Macaca fascicularis: one gene and its partner. The protein of the gene in region 2 purifies or fractionates together with the protein of the main gene of each other region. This does not show direct contact. Links are inferred from orthologs where the notes say so. Each region holds a gene or a part of one and is shown on either strand. Other genes may lie near its edges.

Evidence for each region. Proteins that work in one complex are often made in the same cells at the same time.
Region 1: the proteins of FBXO11 (region 2) and RBX1 purify together in Homo sapiens (co-immunoprecipitation; 4 studies listed by BioGRID and IntAct, with this or other methods). This does not show direct contact. The link is inferred for Macaca fascicularis from reciprocal best matches to the Homo sapiens genes FBXO11 and RBX1.

The regions. Positions count from the first base shown.
Region 1 is NC_088384.1:10,679,339-10,683,312, reverse strand, and holds the start of RBX1 (E3 ubiquitin-protein ligase RBX1), read left to right. Parts: upstream 1-1,174; 5' UTR 1,175-1,199; coding exon 1,200-1,277; intron 1,278-3,396; coding exon 3,397-3,475; intron 3,476-3,974. UniProt on the Homo sapiens protein: E3 ubiquitin ligase component of multiple cullin-RING-based E3 ubiquitin-protein ligase (CRLs) complexes which mediate the ubiquitination and subsequent proteasomal degradation of target proteins, including proteins involved in cell cycle progression, signal transduction, transcription and transcription-coupled nucleotide excision repair.
Region 2 is NC_088387.1:74,104,695-74,108,746, forward strand, and holds the start of FBXO11 (F-box only protein 11), read left to right. Parts: upstream 1-1,252; 5' UTR 1,253-1,289; coding exon of another isoform or gene 1,290-1,364; 5' UTR 1,365-2,076; coding exon 2,077-2,305; intron 2,306-2,366; exon of another isoform or gene 2,367-2,585; coding exon of another isoform or gene 2,586-2,654; exon of another isoform or gene 2,655-2,678; intron 2,679-4,052. Other genes in the region: uncharacterized protein, read right to left, coding at 353-473, 797-870, 1,290-1,364, 2,586-2,654. UniProt on the Homo sapiens protein: Substrate recognition component of a SCF (SKP1-CUL1-F-box protein) E3 ubiquitin-protein ligase complex which mediates the ubiquitination and subsequent proteasomal degradation of target proteins, such as DTL/CDT2, BCL6, SNAI1 and PRDM1/BLIMP1.

The DNA of each region.
Region 1 (3,974 bases), on a different chromosome or scaffold from region 2:
AAAAAATCGGCTCTAGCCTGTAATTCCAGCACTTTGGGAGGCCGAGGCAGGCGGATCACCTGAGGTCAGGAGTTCGAGACCGGCCTGGCCAACATGGTAAAAACCCGTTTCTACTAAAAATACAAAAGAGCCGGGCGTGGTGGCGGACACCTGTAATCCCAGCTACTAGGGAGGCTGAGGCAGGAGAATCGCTTGGACCCGGGAGGTGGAGGTTGCAGTGAGCCGAAATCGCGCCAGTGCACTCCAGCCTGGGCAGCAAGAGCGAAACTCCGTCTCAGAAAAACACCCCAAAAAGTCAGAATGCTTCACAAAAATTAAAGAAATACAGCGACTGCAGATGGGTCGGTTTCACTATAGCACAAGTAGCGGAAAGAGGACACAGACTGGGGAGAAATCACCCTACACAAGATGACAACTGAGGAATGAGGAGTGGGGACTGACACACGCCACGGTGAAACCGCGCACCACGACCAAAGGCGGTCCTAGGACTGCGACTAAGCGGGCGCAGAGGCCACCCTCCAGGCTTGGCGGGGGGATGAGGGCAGCACTGGGGGCCTGCTCAGTCTGGCCTTAGGGAGGACCTTCGGGGCTCTCCTCTCTCCCCATCGATCCCTGAGCAGTTCCCGAACAGAAATCGGAGACCAGACGGTGCCTGGGCCCCAGCCCTCCCACGCGGACTGCGCCTTGGGCCTGGCTCGGAGGTGGGTCAGAGTCTGCGAAAGACCAGCGAGGGCTCTCAGGTTTCGGGGCAGGCGGCGGGCGCCCACCCCGGCTAGCAATGGGAGTCGCGCGGCGACCGGGCGAGCCCGGTAGGCAGGACAGGACTGCGGCGCAGGTCCGACTCAGGCGGAGGAAGCAGCCGCCGCCCCAGCTGATGGAGTGCGGCCGGGGGCTTCCCAGAGGAGGCGGCGACCTCGAGCCCTTTCGAACGTTTCTACCAGGCTAGCTCACGTAGCCTCGGCCCCGCCCGGCCCCGCCCCACCCACTCCGGCCACCGCCCCCTCCCCGGCCGACACTTCGCGGGTGGGGCGACCTGCGATAGCCCCTTTAAGAGGCGTGGTCACGTGCTCCGCCCCCACCTCCCCCACGCGCGCCAGTAAGGGGTGGGGTGCGGGAGGAGGTGCCGGGGAGGCTGGGGGAACGAGGTGTGCGCTGCTGCGCAGGCGCGGTGGTCGGACGACAGACCGTGTGTTTCCAAAATGGCGGCAGCGATGGATGTGGATACCCCGAGCGGCACCAACAGCGGCGCGGGCAAGAAGCGCTTTGAAGTGAAAAAGGTTGGGTCTCGCCAGCGCCTTCCTCAGGGAAGCTAGAGAGGCGCGGATCTGGCTGGCAGGCCCGAGGATGGTCGAGGCGCGGAGTAAAGGGTTTCATTTTAGGGCGTTCCTGGGACCGGGTACCACGAAAGGAAGTCGGGGGGCGGGCCTTAGAGTTGATCGGCGTGACGGCGGCCCACTGTCAGGGGAAGTGTTGGTTTCGATGTGAGGCTGAGGGGCCAATCACAGAGCTGCTTGTTGAGATACGCGGGGTTGCGACTTGGCGGCGGGAGCCAAGCGCCTGAGCTGTCACTGGAGTGGTTGAGAGGTGGGGGAAGGTAGGGTGGGGTGGGGTGGGGTGGGGTGGGGTGGGGTGGGGTGGGTGGAATGGGGAGTCAGAGCGACTGCGGCGGTGGAGGATGGGGCAGTGCGGCGAAAGCCTGGAACCTGAGGTCCTACCGCATTGGAGGCCTCTGAGGAGCCCCGCTAGTGATCTTGCTCCGCCCCTTTTTGAAGCTTGCTTGGGGTCCTCTCACTTGAAGGGATCAGACTTGTTCCTCGCTGAACCGAGGCCTCCATTAACCCCATCTCTGGGCCTCACACCGCCGAGTTAGAGTCTGGAGTGTAATGCTTGGGTGTTCTGAGACGTCTGTTGGCTTTTCCCACAACCACCCCACTCTTGGATTCTCTGTCACGTTCAGAATCTCCCCCTTCCGAAATAATAATAAAAAGCACGGTGGAACTTGTTAAGAAAATCCGAGCCCAAATCCTGTGGCATTTCGGGAGGGTTGAGTAGTAGTTGCGAATGACTTGGTAAGAGGGGAAAGCAAAAATGGAACGTGTCTTTTGCATGAAATGCATTTTAGTGGTTTGCCACAGTTTGGGAGAAAAGTGTCGATTCCCACCTAACATGAAAACTATTCGAAATGGAGATTCTGAAATAGGGAAGATATTCCTGGAACATCTGGCTAAACACTGACAATATCCCCCCCTCCTAGTGCTTTTTGGTGTCTCATTGTGGCCACTGCTGCTCAGTTACAGCCAGCCATATTGAAGAATAATAGAAGTAGGGGCTTTTCCTCCAAGTTGAAGCTGTGATGTGAAAAGTGGTGAAGAAGTTACTAGGCACTGAGACTGGGGTTTGAAAGCGATGAAGGTTTGGGAGTACTTGTAATTGAGGAAACCAGAGTTGAATGAATGAAATGCCACTTTTAGTTAAACTCTTACTGGAATTATTATCTTAATAGAAGAGTCTAAACATATAAAAGTTCAGAACATCAGTTTATTTTATGGTAAGAATCGAACAAAATTCTAGTGAATTGTAGAATTTGTTATGAAGTAATCTAAGATTTAAGTGATGACCTTGTTCTGTGTACTGACATGGGCAGTTAATTATCCAGCTTATCCCACGATTACCCGTTTTATGATCCAGTCATCATCTTAGTTCATTCTGTTCCCTAGCTTTCACTTCATTGCTCATGCTTCCAAAGCTGCCTGGAAGAGCAGATACTTATTCAGATTTTGAGCGCTTCTGCAACTGCCACCAAAACCTGCACAGAAATTCAAGTTTGTGCTTTTTTTTTTTTTTTTTTTTTAGATGGAGTCTCACTCCATCGCCCAGGCTGGAGTGCAGTGGCACGATCTCGGCTCACTGCAACCTCTGTCCCCCAGATTCAAGCGATTCTCCTGCCTTAGCTTCCCAAATAGCTGGCATTATAGACACCCGCCACCAAGCCTGGCTAATTTTTGTATTTGTAGTAAAGACGGGGTTTCGCCATATTGGCCAGGCTGGTCTCGAACTCCTGACTTCAGGTGATCCACCCGCCTCAGCCTTCCAAAGTGCTAGGATTATGGGCGTGAGCCACTGCGTCCGGCCAGACTAAATTGTTTTAAACTACAGGAAACAAATTAAAAGATGACATTAATTTATGTGTTCATATACTCAGTCTTTTGGAGAATAGGAGAATGTATGTGTTGTCTACTGTTGTCTTTGGTATAATAAGATTAACATAATATCCAAAAACTTTTGTTTGGTGGTTCCCTGTGGCCAGAGATCATAACTACAACTGCAGCCTGAAGTCCTAAAAACTGTGTGTGTGTTATAAGGAGAATGCATTGTTCCCTCTTTTTGTCTTTGCAGTGGAATGCAGTAGCCCTCTGGGCCTGGGATATTGTGGTTGATAACTGTGCCATCTGCAGGAACCACATTATGGATCTTTGTAAGTAATTGGAGGAGGATGGGAGGAAGTTGAGAAGGTTGCAGAGCTTGTGGCTATCTTGATGTGACCGATTTTCTTCTTCACAAGCAGATATCAAGCCTACTCTGAGCACTCGGTCTTCTGTATCTAGTCTTTTGGTGTGTTTGAAATAGAGTAGTTTTTTTATGATGTCCTGGAGGCATACCCAGCTTTCAGAATAAATCTACTCAATCTAAAGATGGCAGGGACACATTTAGAATTAATTGTGGACAACAGGCACTGTTGATTCTTCCTGCATATCTCCCATCTTGTACCTAGACTCAAAGGTAGAAATACTGAAAGGAGGAAAATAAACTTTGAGCTAAAATATTCTATCTGAGGCGAGGCGTGGTGGCTCATGCTTGTAATCCCAGCACTTTGGGAGGCCAAGGCGGGCAACATGGTGAAACCCCGACTCTATTAAAAATGCAAAAATACTCTATTAAAAATGCAGAAATTAGCCGGGCGTGGTGGTGCATGC
Region 2 (4,052 bases):
TCTTATTTAAACTCGGGAGGTGGGGGGGGGGTGACATCTAGAAAGGTGAAGTATTTTGCCTGTAGTCACACACCAAGTCTGGGACTCAACACAGTACAAGATACAGGCTCGCCTCTTTGCGTCTCTTCCTCCTTCCAAAATACACTTTCCTCCCTCTCAAAAGCTTTATCACGCTTTGTAGTTACTTAATTATCGATGTCAAACCTAGACAGCAACTGATGACACTCAAACCAGAGACATTGCCCAAAGTTCTGAAAACCAGAGAATCAGATAAACTGACAGTTTTACCACATCCAAAAAAATACAAAACAAAAGAGAGAAGGGGGAGAATCGAGAAAGAGTACATTTTCAGTCATCGTAACAGAAGCGAGGGAATAAAAACAAGTTTCCCTTGAAGAGAGATTATGTTGGGGGCATCAGGTATAAAGGTAATTCCTCTTGAGGGTTTTTCTTTTCCTTGTAGTTTGTGGGACCTGAAAAAAAATTTAAAAAGTAAATCACATAAACAATCACAACATCAACTCATTTACTTCTCTCCTCTCACATATTAGTTTCCCACACATTGTACACACTTCTTCAGAGAACAAATCAAACTGGCCAAAAGTCAAAGCTTTTTCAAGGTTTAGATGATCTACGATTAAGCACCGACTCCAAACTTCGGTTACCAAGCCCAAAGCTCGGAGAAGGAAATCTCCAGGGTTTGCAAATACCCTCAGCTTCGCTAAAGGGCACGAAATCTCTAGCGCTCCCTACAGCTCAGATTTTGAACCCACCTACCACAGAAAACCCGAGTTACCAAAGATTGGCTCCCTCGTTCCACTTTTTTTTCAGCTCAACAAAATTGGGTGAAGGCTGGGGTAGAGGGGGAAGCTGAAACGGCGAACCGAAGGATTAATCACTTCTCCCCATTACATCAGCAACCCCCGCCCTTTCCTCCGAGCACCTCCTCTCCCAGAATCGTCGCTACGCACTGGCGCTCTCTTCGCCCACCCCCTGCTCTATTATTTGCCCTGATACCTCCCATTATCACCCGCCCCACCACACTCCCCCTTTCCTCTTTCCCCCTCCTAGGCGGGGGAGGGAGGAAACCCGAGAGAGGAAACGGGGCGTTGAAGGAACTTCGCGATAAGAGCGGAGGCCCCATTGGCCGGAAGGTTGTACGGGAGCCTTAGATTGGCCGCCTGGACGGATTCCCCGCCCCTCTTCTCCCCGCCCATTCACCCCTCCCCCCGCCGCCTCGCGGCCCTCCCCCGCGCCCCCGGCCAGCCCCGCGGCGGGGAGGGACCCACTGGGCGAGTGGAGGCTCCGGCGGTGTCAATGGCTCCTCCTGCCACGGAGCAGCAGCAGAAGCAGCGGCGACAGGGCTGAGGAGGAGGAGGAGAAAAGGTTCCTTTAAGGAGGAGGAACGACGACGCCTCTTTTTCTCCCTATCTCCTCCCTTCACACTCATTTCCCCTTCGCCGAGGAGAGAAGGGGGGGAGGAGAGAGAAGAGGCCGAAGAAAGAGAAAAATTCCTCACAGAAATCTCTTTCAGGGGGTGTGGGGGGGAGGAAGAGGGAAAAAAAAAGAGCCGGGCGCCCCCTGCTCCCTCCCTCCCTTCTCTCCCTCTCTTCTTCTCCCTTCCTCACCCGCCCGCCCACTCCCCCCGCTGCCGGAGACGCCGCTCGCGAGTCGGCGGGACCGGGATCTGTCTCCTCAGCCGCCGCCGCCGCCGCCGCCGCCGCCGCCGCGCTTCGCCTCGGGATCCCCAAGCGGCGGACGCCCTTTCTTTCTTTCTCTCGCTCTGCCCGTCTTTCTGCCTTCGTCCCTCGCGGCCGCCCCGCCCGGCGGCCTCGGCCTTCCCCGTGCGTCAGGCCCGCCCGGCCGGCCTCCCTCGGTCTCCGTCTGTGTACCCAGGCCTTTCTCCGGACTCGGGGTCCCGCTCGCCCCCTCCGCCTTCAGCGTCTCCCCTTCCCCTCGCCCCTTCTCCTTCCTCCTCCCTCTCCCACTCTCCCCACCCCCTTCTCCTGCCCCGAAGCTCGCTGTGCGTGTGCGTGTGTGTGTCCCTCCGCCAACGCCGCCACCTCAGCCCGGCAAATGAACTCCGTCCGAGCCGCCAACCGGAGACCCAGGCGAGTGTCGCGGCCGCGCCCGGTGCAGCAACAGCAGCAGCAGCCCCCGCAGCAGCCGCCGCCGCAGCCACCCCAGCAGCAGCAGCCGCCCCAGCAGCAGCCTCCGCCGCCGCCACAGCAGCAGCAGCAGCCTCCGCCGCCGCCACCGCCGCCTCCGCCGCTGCCTCAGGAGCGGAACAACGTCGGCGAGCGGGGTAAGGCCGGGCTCCCTCCCAGCCGCCAGCCGGCCGGGGCACCGCGGGAAGGGAGGCAGGGGCGGGCGGGGGCGGCCTGCGCGCCCTAGGGGTGGGAGACCCAAGCTGAGCGGAGGCGGGTCCCCCGGTGCCGCAGTGTCAGCCGGGGCCGGGCCGGCAGGAAAAGCCGCGGCTTCCCTACTCGCCCGGGCTCTCGCTCAGGCCGCGCTTTGTTTGGTTTCGGGGGCTCGGCACCCTCCACCCCCACCCATCCCTTTGGCTTCTCGGCTCGCTCACGGACCCCGCGGAAGTCTGTTGGCCGGGGGGGAAGGCGAGCGGCGTGATTTCTCTCTTTTCTGCTGCCTTCCATGGTTTAGTCTGTCTCTTTCTAATGGTAGGTTGGGGGGAGCAACTGGGAGCACTCGGGCGGTGGGGTTGGCTGGGGAACTTGTTTTCCCCCATTTTTCTGTGTTAGCCTACCCCTTCCTGGGGAGGAGCGGGAGAGGGGAATCGGGGTGGTCTGTGGTGTTGGCCGGGGAACTTGTTTCCCCCGCCCCCCCGTCCCTGGTCACGGGGTAGGGGGAGCAGCGACTCCTCTCCCAAGCCCACAATGTTTGCTGCGCAGTTTGCCTTTAGTTACAGAACCCCTGGGAAGGACCCGTTAAATCAAGACCTTTAAATAAATAAATATAGAATCCATCGGCCATTTCCAGCCCCCTCCCTCGTGTGCAGTGCAGTTACCCTTCCGCTCTATCGACACCCCCTTGCCTGTCCTCCCCTAGCGACCCCCCATGCCGCGGTGCTGCTCTCCGTCTCCTAGTGGGGTTTGAACGCCCCTTCCTTAGAACTGGCCCCTTGGGATATTGTGTGTGTGTGCGTGTGTGTGTGCGCGCGCGCGCGCGCATGTGTGTGTGTTGTGTCCAAGGCCTAGTGAAATGTGTCATTTGGACCCAACTGTGCAGCACTGTCTGGTAACCACCATTGTCTGAGGGCTGAGGCTCCCCGGGATTGAAATCCTGCTTTAGCAAAAATAATGTTCAGTTCTACTTGGATGATATGGTTATTTTGGGAGGTTTATGAGGTGGGGTGTTGCACCTTGGTCTCCAAACAACCATTCTCTTTATTAATTAGCTGTTCGCAGTAGTGGTGGAGGTCAGAACCGTATTTATGTGTACGGTTGTTGTTTTAAGGAGGAGAATTGTTAGGAGACATTTTGCGTGTTTTAGTTGGTGGATTAAGGTTAATTTTACATGCGTTGGTTGTCACACCTCCATTGATTAAAGAGATTGAGATTAAATGTTTTTTTAAGTTAGACATTATTTCCTTAAAAACGGTTTCATTGTTGTACTTGATCAAAATATTTAACAAATTGAGGAGGGAGGTGTTAATCGGAAAATAGTTTAAAAGGCTTTCTCACCAGTGTTAAAGATAGTCTTAGAGAAAGCAGTTTGCTATATGTTGCTTGAAAGAATGTGATGTTTCAAGACAGAGATCTTGTGCAACATAACTGGCAAATGTGTTTTGTTTCTTTGATACATTTGCCATTTTGGGGGTAAATTTTAAAAATCTGTAGTCTCGTTATTTCCTTTCACGTATGTATATCAGTGTGTTTCTGATGTTCCATTCAAATCATGTTCGTCTTCTTCCAGAATTGGCGCTATATGTAGTACAGTTGACAAATATTTTTGAGAAAATAGTGACACTCGTTTGAAATTCTAGCATTTAATATTAAGGATTCCATTGCTACAGTAAGCTTTTTCAAGATGCG